2 linked regions of the Schizosaccharomyces pombe genome follow. The protein of the gene in region 2 interacts with the protein of the main gene of each other region in a biochemical or structural test. Each region holds a gene or a part of one and is shown on either strand. Other genes may lie near its edges.

The links. The genes of interacting proteins can lie anywhere in the genome.
Region 1: the proteins of rad9 (region 2) and rpa2 form a complex in vitro, tested with the Schizosaccharomyces pombe proteins (one study listed by BioGRID).

What each region holds. Positions count from the first base shown.
Region 1 is NC_003423.3:2,005,821-2,010,659, forward strand, and holds the start of rpa2 (DNA-directed RNA polymerase I complex subunit Rpa2), read left to right. Parts: upstream 1-2,265; 5' UTR 2,266-2,298; coding exon 2,299-4,839. Other genes in the region: mtm1 (Mn(2+) ion transporter), read left to right, coding at 148-1,155. UniProt on the Schizosaccharomyces pombe protein: DNA-dependent RNA polymerase catalyzes the transcription of DNA into RNA using the four ribonucleoside triphosphates as substrates. Second largest core component of RNA polymerase I which synthesizes ribosomal RNA precursors.
Region 2 is NC_003424.3:1,712,208-1,719,778, reverse strand, and holds rad9 (checkpoint clamp complex protein Rad9), read left to right. Parts: upstream 1-4,062; 5' UTR 4,063-4,242; coding exon 4,243-4,347; exon of another isoform or gene 4,348-4,400; coding exon 4,401-4,734; exon of another isoform or gene 4,735-4,791; coding exon 4,792-5,405; exon of another isoform or gene 5,406-5,461; coding exon 5,462-5,689; 3' UTR 5,690-5,859; downstream 5,860-7,571. Other genes in the region: gamma-glutamyltranspeptidase Ggt1, read right to left, coding at 1-283; bfr2 (traub family ribosome biogenesis protein), read left to right, coding at 2,059-2,068, 2,111-2,158, 2,205-2,304, 2,366-3,566; ribosome biogenesis protein rlp7, read right to left, coding at 5,996-6,622, 6,840-6,962. UniProt on the Schizosaccharomyces pombe protein: Acts in DNA repair and mutagenesis. Involved in promoting resistance to ionizing radiation and UV light, as well as regulating cell cycle progression after irradiation. Repressor of entry into mitosis that is activated by chromosome breaks.

The DNA.
Region 1 (4,839 bases), on a different chromosome or scaffold from region 2:
ATTAAGACAGAACTCTCAGACCAGATATATGATAGTGCATTGCATAACGTTATTTGGTTTAATGAAGTTTAACTACGACTTCGTAGATGAAAGGACGGTGCTTCGTAATGAAGATGACAGGAACACAAACAGAGTCAGAGAGAATACATGCAGATAGGAGCTGCGACAGAAGGCGTAGAAGCTGACTTGTCGGTGAATGCTGAGCCCGATGTGAAGCCTATAGCGAAAATGCTGTCAGCTTGTGTAGGAAGTGTAATTACAACGCTGACTGTAACGCCTTTAGATGTTGTGAAAACCCGCTTGCAGAGTGAATCTATTTCTCAATATTCTTCTACGCAACCCATTTCTTCAGCAAAGATATTGGGGAAGGGAAGGCCAGCTCCAAAGCCTTTAGGAGGCCCGGTATCCGGACTTTATCAGATCGCTCGGCATGAAGGTGTTAGAAGCTTGTGGCGTGGATTAGTTCCTTCATTGACAATGCTCTTGCCAGCAAACACTGTACAGTTTCTTGGGTATGAGCAATTACTTCCCTTATACAGTGATTGGGGCTTTCCTGCTGCTGCTGCAATCGCAGGAGCATCTGCGCGCACAATATCTGCTACTATTGTGTCTCCTATAGAATTATTCAGGACTCGAGTGCAAGCAGTAGGCGGCCATTATCCGCCCGGCCATGCGCGCGAGATTGCTAATGAGGTCTTTGATGGATTGAAATTAATGATTCATCAAAAAGGTATACTGAATTTATGGAGCGGTGTCAGCGTAACGTTGTGGAGAGATGTACCATTCAGTGCATTTTACTGGTGGTCGTATGAGAGAATTCGACTCTTCCTGCTTGGGCATCCATCACTTCAAGCATTTTCCAGCTCTCAATCTACAAAGGACCTCTATATCAATTTTGTGAGCGGAGGAATTAGTGGGACTCTAGCAACCCTATTAACTCAACCTTTCGATGTATCAAAAACTGCTAAGCAGGTGCATGGACATACGTTAACCAGAGGTCAGTTTATGTTAACCTTATGGAAGCGAGGTGGTCCCAAGGCCTTGTGGAAAGGCACGTTGCCTAGATGTGTTAAAGTTGCACCGTCCTGTGCAATCATGATTTCAAGTTATCATTTAACTAAAAAGTACTTTTCTGAGTCTGTTGATGCTTATTAATTTAGACGTTGATTTTCAGGTTTTGGTTGGCTTGATGAAACCTTTGTTCTTTTTTTTTCGGTTTAATGTTTTCATCTCTTTTCTTACAGGATTCCATTTATGTTGATAATTCCCCTCTCGCAACTCCATTTCTATTTGTAGTCTATATGTTTACTATAATACAGGATTCAAAAATGCAAATCGAAAGAGTCTTGAAAGTAAAATAGGTTGGGTTAATTTACGAAGCGTAGAAACTAAAAATTAATATTTTTTAATTTCTGATATTAGTCTCTAAAATAAAGCCATAGTAGAACAAGCTTGCTATGTTTTTACCAGACATTGAAGCTAATGCTTTCATTATATACCCATTGTTGTTCTTTTTAAAAGCTTTTTCAATGGTTGAGGATACATATATTTTATTCAATGTTTTTCTTTTCCGTTATTGAAAAGCAGAAACAGCTCGGGCCAAAAAGTTTAGATCTTTGAAGAAAGCGATTTTTAAAGTGGGAGCTTTTGTTATCCGTTTATTTTATATGAATTGACTAGACTAGAATCGTATATAACGAAATTATTTCTAAAATAAATATTGAAAGTGATAAAAAAAAGCCCTTTAACAAGATTTTTTTTAAGATACTAAGACAAAGCAAATTAAATATTTATTAGGTTTCATTCAACTGATCGGTGATATGAACTGTAACAGGGCAATGGTTACTTGTGTTTAAGCTTTTCTTCTTGAATTTACTGAGATAAGCAACAAGTAAGGACTTGCAGGAGACATTCTAAAATATCAATAAACAAATTCTTTATAGCTTCAATTGCGGTATAAATCAAATATTAGTAGCGTCGATCACCAACTTATCTGTCAGCGTACAGTGAGTACACTTTCGATAACACTTTACCTTTTCTATTACTCTTCAAAGACAATGGATAGTCGTTCATTAATAAAATCAAGCAAGAACACTACCCAAAAAGCGATTTACTATTAGAATTGAATTAGGCAGTGGAATGAACAACGCTATACTATTGCATATTCCGCACTTCAGCGCCTTAATGTTTAAACCATTTTACCGCTTTTCATTAAAGCTTGTTAAGTGTTCGCTTAACGCTCAATTTAGTATGAATATAGCAGGTGTCCTCCGCCAAAATTTTCTCTGCAAACCTGGGATGTCATTCCAAACGTTAGAGCGAGAAAGGACGTTTAAAAATCCGCCCAAGGACGGAACGAGCTTTCCAGATTTGCAAAAGGCCGTAAAACCTCATGTTGATTCCTTTAACGCCCTTACTAATGCCGGACTACTCAACTATGCTGTTAAGGAAATTGGTGAGAAATGTGCATTTGACTCGATCACACAAGAAGAAGGTGGTGCATTGAAATTTGGAAATAAGATTTCCTTCCGCGTTGATGAGGTTCAAATTGCGAAGCCAATGTTGTCTAGTCGTGAAAGGTCTTCTATTAACCGCAAAGTCTACCCTGCTGAAGCCAGAGAGCGTTTGACTACTTATAAATCAAGATTGGTTCTTAAATTCTCATGGAGTGTCAATGGAGGCCCTAGACAATCAGAAATGCGTGAAGTAGGCATGATTCCCATCATGGTACGGTCCAACAGATGTCATCTGGAAGGATTGTCTCCTGCCGAACTTATTGCTCATAAAGAGGAGAGCGAAGAGATGGGCGGTTACTTTATCGTTAACGGTATTGAGAAGTTGATTCGTATGTTAATTTTACCTAAGCGCAATCATCCTACTGCCATCATTCGCCCTTCTTTTGCCAATCGTGGTACTAGCTACTCACAGTATGGTTTATCTATTCGTTGTGTCCGTCCAGACCAGTCTAGTTTAACCAACACCCTTCATTATCTTAACAATGGTGTTACGATGTTTCGTTTTCACTGGCGTAAAAACGAATATTTAATTCCTTCGATGATGATTCTTAAGGCCCTGTTAGAAACCAGCGATAAAGAAATTTTTGAGGGCATTGTTGGTAAAGATTTGGGAAATACTTTCTTGACGGATCGTGTTGAGCTTATGCTTAGAGCTTATAAGTCCTATGGTCTTTACTCCCAAACTGAAACACTTCAGTATTTGGGTAGCAAATTTCGTGTTGTTCTCGGCGTTGCTGAAGACCTAACTGATGTTGAAGTTGGCCGCTTTCTCTTACAAAAGGTTGTTTTAGTTCACCTTCGTGAAGCTAAGGATAAATTCCGCCTTCTCCTATTTATGATCCGCAAGTTATATGCACTTGTAGCTGGAGAGTGCTGTGCCGATAACCCTGACTCTCCACAACATCAGGAAATTTTATTAGGTGGTTTTCTTTATGGTCAAATTCTTAAGGAGAAGATTGAGGATTGGCTAAATAGCATCCGCGCTCAAATTAATTTGGATGTTCGACGCTCAGCGCCTGGTGTTGATTTCTCCGATCGTAAATACTTGACCCGTGTCTTTTCTAAAATTAACAATGACATCGGAACGAAATTACAATATTTCTTGAGTACCGGTAACCTTGTTTCCAATACTGGTCTTGATTTACAACAAGCTACAGGTTACACTGTTGTCGCCGAGAAGTTGAACTTCTACCGCTTTCTTTCACATTTTCGAATGGTACACCGTGGTGCATTTTTTGCTGAGCTTAAAACTACTACTGTCCGTAAATTGCTTCCTGAAGCTTGGGGTTTCATGTGTCCAGTTCACACACCCGATGGTTCTCCATGTGGTCTTTTAAACCATTTGGCTAGAAAATGTGAAATTGTCACCCATCCTTCTGATGTAAGTCAAATCCCATCACTTTTGCTATCGTTGGGTGTTGATCCTCCAAGTGTAGTTGGTCATGAATCTGGTTGGGGATGCGTACAATTGGATGGAAAGATTGTTGGTTGGTGTACTTACAAACTTGCTAAGCACGTTGCTGATGTGCTACGTTTAATGAAAATTGAATATGCTGTCAAGTTGCGTAATGGAACTGCCACTGAACCTGCTAAGGTCCCTTTAGATTTGGAAATTGGATATGTGCCTCCGTCTCATAACGGGCAATATCCAGGTCTTTATCTGTTTAGCAATCCTGCAAGGATGGTTCGACCGGTTAAGCACATTTCTACTGGTGAACTTGATATGCTTGGTCCATTTGAGCAAGTTTACATGGATATTGCATGTTTCCCTAAAGAAATCGTTCCTAAAGTTTCTACTCATGTAGAGTATTCGCCCACAAATGTACTCTCCATCGTTGCCAATATGACTCCATTCTCAGACTTTAACCAGTCTCCTCGTAACATGTATCAATGTCAGATGGGTAAACAAACTATGGGTACGCCTGGTACGGCCCTTCGTTATCGTACTGACAACAAACTTTATCGTCTTCAAACAGGACAAACACCAGTTGTTCGTCCTAAGCTTCACAATACCTATGGCCTCGATCATTATCCAAATGGTACAAACGCTGTTGTTGCCGTTATCTCATACACTGGTTACGATATGGAAGATGCTATGATTTTGAATAAATCTGCTCATGAGCGTGGTTTTGGTTATGGTACTGTATATAAGGGTGAATCTTTTGACCTTTCCCAAAAGCGTCGCAGAGGTGAACCAGTCGTTCACCATTTTGGTTTTGCTCCCGGTTCAACGCCTCGTCGCGAATGGTTGCAAAAGTTAGACGCCGACGGGTTACCTTTTATTGGAATTAAACTTGAGGATGGAGATCCCATTGTCGCTTAC
Region 2 (7,571 bases):
CTACTACTCTCTGCGAGCCTTTGTTTTTATATTTGAAGGAGCACCGTTGATTTGCAAAAAAAAGGTCGGGAGATAAAATTGGCCAGATGTATAAAGAAAGTATTGTGCCTGCCAAAACAAGAAATGTGACAAGAATAGAGGGACGAGAAGCCCGTTCTTCTAGAGCTGAAGTGGCTGATTTCTTATTAGATGATAAATGCCGATTTCCAGACTTCACATTTACAGAACTTCGAGCGATGGAAGCAGCCCCTGAACTCTGAGCAGAAGACGTATTGATACCCATCACAATTTAAAAAGTGCTGAAAATATCCAAAAAAAAAAAAACAAGGTATGAAATGGAATGAAATTAAATTTAAAAAAAATACCTTTACCAAGATTAAGGAATCTTGCACAAAACCTTTGAGAAGAGGGTATGGATGAAGAAAATGAAAAGAACTTCTAATTTAACAAATTTAATTTTTGGGGAAAAATGACCCAAAATGGACTAAAGAAAGCCAACCGCAACTTCTACACCTTTTTTTTACGATATTAGCATGAAGAAATCAACAAGGCTAATCAATAATTGAATAGCGTTAGCTTTAAATAAATTCAACGGAAGAAATCCTTGCTTCTCAAGAGAACGGCTCGAGTTTGCTGTGTGCGTGCAAGTTGAGAGAAATAAGCGGGAGGCAAATTGGTGGAGCAAACCACATATCTAATTTATACAACCGAAAACATGGTTTTGACTGTGAAGCCGGCAAAACTAACAAATGCATTTTACTGACTAAAATATCTTTCATATCTTTTGTTTTTAAAAACCGCATATTGGCAAAAAATTTCTAAATCGATAGGTAGATCCTTCGAAAATCCCAATTGATCGACTAGTAAGCGAGGCCGAATAATATGGCGATGAATGCACAATTCATTCAATGTTTATGAATGAGCACTTTGAAAATGGATATTCCATGAAAGATAGATAATAGAAAATCGGTATTAAATGTATTTGATTTTGTAGTCTTTCATCTATCTGTCTAATAATGGTTTGCAACATCGATGTTTATGATATTACAAATTGTTTTTAGGAACTTTTTTCTTATAGTTGATATAAAACTAATATAATAGGGTCGAAAGCGATTCATTTTAACTCATCGATTAATTCAAATTTTGATGTGTTAGTCTAATCCTGGATTTATTTACATGGGCAAAGATTTTTATCAAGGACAAATAGTATTTCAATGCCCAATTCATTTGGTTCCAGATTTTTTGAAAAACTTTTTTTTAAATGTTTTTATTTTCTTTCACATATACTCTGTTACCGATTCGATTTAAAATATTATTGAGCAAAAGCAGTATGCAAGGGTATTGGAATAATATTGACAAAAGCAAGGTATGAAACTTTAAAAAAAACAAATTAGATTTTATTTTATTTTTTTAAGTATAAGAGTTTACGTCTCGTTCTTTTACAGCAGCACCCCATTTTCGAATCGTATGTGTAACGAAATTTTTGAATTTAATTGTAAACATTACTTAAAATCAACACTGTTTTAAGATATTTTTTTGCTTTTTAAAAATAAGCAACAAGTTAAATAGAGACCGCTTTTATTGGAAACAGCAAGCATACACTTACCAAAACTCAACTCCTATTCTTATAACAGTTTTAGAGAGACATAATACTCGTTAGCATAATACACAGTCAAACAATAAAATAATAAATTGGTAATTGTTTAGTTACATTGTCTAGACAGAAAGAAGCAAGATGTGGGGAATTTCCGAGTTTTTACCTTGAGCTTTAACGAACAATTTTTAGCCCTTTAAAAATCGATACTTTAGTCGGTTGCATTCTCTACGTCGTTTTACTAATATAATCAACTCTCGTGCTGTGTTCGTTTTTTCAACTTTTGGTTGCTTCATAAAAACCATATTATTTATTTCAAACAAAGTAATATAACCTCGTCTGTACTAGCTGAATCCGATAAATGCCTTCAAACTTCATTCTTATATTTATTTCATACAATGATAATTTTGCTAACCCACACCCCTTCACTTACCCAGTCCCAGACACATCAAAATTTGCTCAAAATGGGTAAAGGTAAGTTCAATAAGATATTTTTAGGTTCTAATAAATCTTTAGTTTCTTTAAAAGATGAATTGGCAGGGATGCTAAACCCTCAACCGCAGGGTATGTTATTAACGAAAAATTCCGGGATTCTTACTCACATAAATAGAAAGAGACCCTGAAGCTTTAGAGGACGCATTCTCTGATAGAGAGGACTCTAGCGAAGAAGAAAACGATACCTTAGGGAGAGAACATTATGTTGATGTTAGGTATGTTCAAAATTTTTACTTTTGCGTATTTGAGCTTATACTAATGTTTCATATTTTATAGTGAAAGTAAATTACGCTCAAAACAGGCTCCTCAGTTAGACCCAAAATTTAAAGGAAGAAAAACGTCTCGCCAGGAATTACTTAATAGCGGTTCTTTAAACTCTCAATCTTCATCACCATCTGAAGAAGAAGATTCGGAGGAAGACGAAAATGATGCAGTTTCAGAAGATCACGAAAATTTTTCAAGCTCAGAAGCTTCATCAATTTCTGAGGAAAATGAAGATGACGACCAATCTTCTGCCATTCCTGAAAAAGACATGGATCGTTTAAAAAAGATTATAAATGGAGAGAAAAAGCTATCTGATCAAATTCGTACATCCGCCCTTGAAGACATGAAAAAGGGTTTAGCTTTGAAGGAGCAGATGCGTTTTTACGATAATGTTTTAGATACTAGAATCCGTCTTCAAAAAGGATGTAGTCAACTTCTTTCTTCCAGCAACCAACTTCAAGGTGATAAAGTAGAAGCCCGAGATGGTTTAGTATCTTTTATTCAACACACTTTACAGCTGAGGAAAAACTTACTTATTGACTCTGGAGTGGAAATTCTTGACAGTAGATCAAAAAGAAAAGAGAATCCTGTTAGTCTAGAAGAAATTGCTTTAGAAATGAATAACCTTGACGACTCTTTGAATGAGTGGAAAAATGATACTTTAACCAAATGGCATAATCGGGTTCAAGCAGTGCAAGGGATTTCGCAATCTAACAAATTCAAGGCTCTAAATCAAAGTATTGTTCAACAAATCGAAAATTCTATGATTAACAAGAAAGATTTGGTCGAGCGCACTAGAATTGATTACAGTGACCCTAACAACAAAACTTTCAATCCCGAAATTTACAACGACACGGATTTTTATCAATCATTATTGAAGGATTTCATTAATTCTAGAATGGCAGACTCTACTCGAGATGGCACTGTTCGTTGGATGGCTACAAAAAAGCAAAAACAGAAGAAAGAAAACGTTGATACTAAGGCATCCAAAGGTCGAAAAATAAGGTATCACGTTCATGATAAATTACAAAATTTTATGGCTCCCATTGAAGTGACTGTATGGCCGGATGAACAAACTGAAGATTTGTTTAGTAGTCTGTTGGGTCAACAATTAGATTTATCAGAGACAGCTAATGATACAAATACTTCAAACTTCGTGGAGAAGGATGATGAACTGATCTCTTCCAACGACGGATTTTCTCTCTTCGGTTGAAAATAAGCTTGTGCGTGTTGGATAAGCTTCACTATTTGTCTTTTTTTTAATATACGCAAGCTGTGCTAAACATTTAGGGTGCATGATTATTTTTACTTACAGTATATCTTTTTTCGGTTTTAAAAAGGGCATTCGCGGATTTTGGTTCTATTATAATATATTTCGTTTACAATTATTTAGGTTAATAAAAAAATTTAACATATATATGGTTACATAGATGGTCACAATGTCGGGCAATTACAAGTAATAAAGGGTTATCTTGGGCTGAAGGTTTTAGTTTTTGTGCACTTTAGTATTTTAAGCATAAAAGTATGTACGTTTATATGATGTACAGTTGAACTCTTTCTGCTGCAAATTAAAAGCAGCTATAAGTTTCTTCTTATTACAATTCATTGTGTATATACAGATTATTTTGCGATTGATGTTGGCCATTACACTTTCGTACAAATTTCGGCGCGCGTGTCTATACTAATATAAGTGCGTTAAAGCAGGTGCTAGAAAACACCACATTATAGATTTACCTCTGTATATACCAGTTTCAATTCTGTTTGTCAAAAATTGTCGAGATTTATTTACTTCTATTAGCATGAATTAAGAAATTAATCGTCATATCGACTAGAAACTATCGTTATTCGTTCAGCATTCGTCTACATCAATTCACGTACTGGTATATAAAATGGAATTCACTGTTTCAAATGTTAATCTTCGGGACCTCGCAAGGATCTTTACAAATCTTTCTAGAATCGATGATGCTGTCAACTGGGAAATTAACAAAAATCAGGTGTGTTGGAACTTTTTTCAAACCTTACTAAACATTGAAACTAATTGGTAAAGATAGAGATTACATGTTTAAATTCTTCTAGGTCAGGATTTAGCATGGTGACTTTAAAAAAGGCATTTTTTGACAAGTACATTTTTCAGCCGGATTCCGTCCTGTTGACGGGATTGATGACTCCTACAATACGTATTCGTACGCAAGTCAAGCCCATACTATCTGTGTTTAGAAACAAAATCTTTGATTTCATCCCGACTGTCGTCACTACCAATAGCAAGAACGGTTATGGCAGTGAATCTGCAAGCAGAAAAGATGTGATTGTCGAGAATGTTCAAATCTCAATCTCTACTGGTAGCGAGTGTAGGATTATATTTAAATTCTTATGCAAGCACGGTACGTAGTTTGTCCGTCTTATTATTTTATTTGCTCTACTAACGTTTATTCATCAAGGAGTGATTAAAACATATAAAATATCATATGAACAAACCCAAACTTTACACGCTGTTTTTGATAAATCTCTTAGTCACAATAATTTTCAAATAAACTCAAAAATTCTAAAAGATTTGACTGAACATTTTGGTCAGAGAACGGAAGAGCTTACAATTCAACCACTTCAAGAACGTGTTTTACTTACAAGTTTCACAGAAGAGGTCGTACATAATAGAGATATTTTGAAGCAACCTACCCAAACAACTGTTTCCATTGATGGTAAAGAATTTGAACGCGTCGCACTTAATGAGGGAGTCTCTGTTACCCTTTCTCTACGTGAATTTCGTGCTGCCGTCATTTTAGCAGAGGCATTGGGAAGCTCGATTTGTGCATATTACGGTGTCCCAGGAAAACCGATACTTTTAACTTTTGCAAAAGGGAAAAATTCCGAAATTGAAGCGCAGTTCATTCTTGCAACTGTAGTTGGATCAGATGAACAAGAGGTGTCATCTATGATGGGAAATAGATGGCAGCACAGTTCAACACCAGCTTCTCTGTTCAATTCAGTAGAGCGCAACAACTCATTGACTGCTGTAGCACATAATCCCCCTGGATCTATTGGATGGCAAACTGATGTATGTAATTCGGCTTTAGTACTAAGTACAATAATTTATTAACATTAACTTTATAGCAAAGTGACTCATCCAGAATGTTTAATTCTGCGCTTGACCGAAGCGACGAAACTAATGGCATTAAGGAGCCATCAACCACAAACGATGCTGGTCAATCATTGTTCTTAGATGGTATTCCTAATGAATCCGAGCTTGCTGCTTTTAATAATGATGTGAACGATGATGCCGAATTTGGACCAACGCAAGCTGAACAAAGTTATCATGGCATTTTCTCTCAGGAAGACTAGGAAAATCCTTCTTTGCTATGGTGTGTAAAATTATGAACATTTACAGGTGCTTGTGACAACCTCATAAAACACAGCACTCATATTATATAATGTACAATATTTATCAATAATTTAGTTTTTTTTAACTACAAAATTACCCTCATCATACGATACGTTACATAGTAGTTCTAATAAATCAATAAGATAGTGAATAATGTAACCCAATTAATTAAATTCCAATCCACGGCCTATAAAAAGTCTAATATACATTTTTGCATTTTCATCTGAATGCAAAATTTAAGTCATTACACGAACTCAAAGAAAGTTTTAAACTTGTTTCTTAATCAATTCGTTAATTTCTTCTCCACAATAGCCAGCCTTTCGACCCTCATTAAAATGTTTGACCTTTTTCTCCATCAAACTGTGTTTAACTGGAGTCAAAGTGAATGGCCATAAGAATTTAGTAACTTCCTTAAAATGAGAGCCTACATTGTAAATTTCATGAATGATATCTTCAATGGAAATAACATCATATTTGCCCAAGGCCTCCTCAATTAATGCATTATCAGAGAGAGCAATACGCTGACCATTGATCTTACCAAAGCCACGTTTATAAATGAGTTCACGAACAGAATGTAAATTGGGAATACCATACATAACATAAGGTTCGACGATTCGAAGCATTTGAGCAACGGCTTTATTATTTCGCACAAAAACGGCATTGTTAATTCGAGAAAGGCGTAATAAGCGCAGAACTTTGCGAATTTTAGGAGGCATATTCTTGACTCCGGCAATTCGAATAACGAAAAGAAGTTTTGTTTCATCAGGCACGAAAATGTCTCCTTTATTTTTCGCAGATCGATTTAACCTAATCCGTTCTCTTTCTCGTTGGCGGTAGTTATTAATAAAAGTCTCAGCCCTTTTGAAGGTTTCTTTACGATTTTTCTTCTGGGCCTGGAGTAAAATTAGTAAAATGTTTTTAACAATATATAAAAATTGATGAAGTCAAAGGTTTAAATTTAACCAATACAAAATATATGAATCAGCCGAAAGATGGTATTTTGGAGCAGCATCGTCGAAACTAGCAATCCAAGAGTGAAAGGTTCATCTTTTTCATATAAATATGTATATTATGGATATTTCAAACCTGTAGAACAAGCAATTCACATACCTCTTTTTTGGCAATAGCCTGCTCAACACGTTCTTTCCGAGTACGCTCATTGACCTTGCGCTTTTTTAAAAGCACCTCAGGTTCAAGCATAGTCTGTTGTACAACCGGTGCATCCTCCGCCATTTTATCGTCTGTTAGTAACGAGTAGAGGGCACGTTGGGACTATAGACAGACGAAAAATTATAGCTATGAAATGTGACTGCTTTAAGACACATAATGTTCTTCGTTACAATCCGCTAATAAGCGCAAAAAAATTTTGAAGCGATTTTCAAATAGGCTTTGAAATGTGTACTTAAAGGTAAAAAATGGTGTTTAAAAACTATGGCAAATTTAATTTGACAATATAACAAAAATTGCACAATAGTAGATTGCTCCTTCCATATCGAAGCATCTCTTTCTAATAACCAAGACCAAACTTTATCTAATTGACCTTGTACCATTGAAATTCATGTTTAAAAGATATACAAACGATTTTAATAGGAATATTATCAATGTTGAATGTAATCACCTGGTGCTCAAACTCCTCAGGGACGTGGGATATGGAGATGATAAATTTTGCACAACATTAATCGAAACAGTGCGAAAACACATGAGAAGTTGAATAATTGTATTATTAGCCCTTAACTTCTTAGGGTAGCCGTTTAAATGTCATTCATCCTAAACTGAAAAAAAAAATGTGACATTGATGAAATATAGTTTTCCACACGCAATTTATGTAAAATAATCATATAC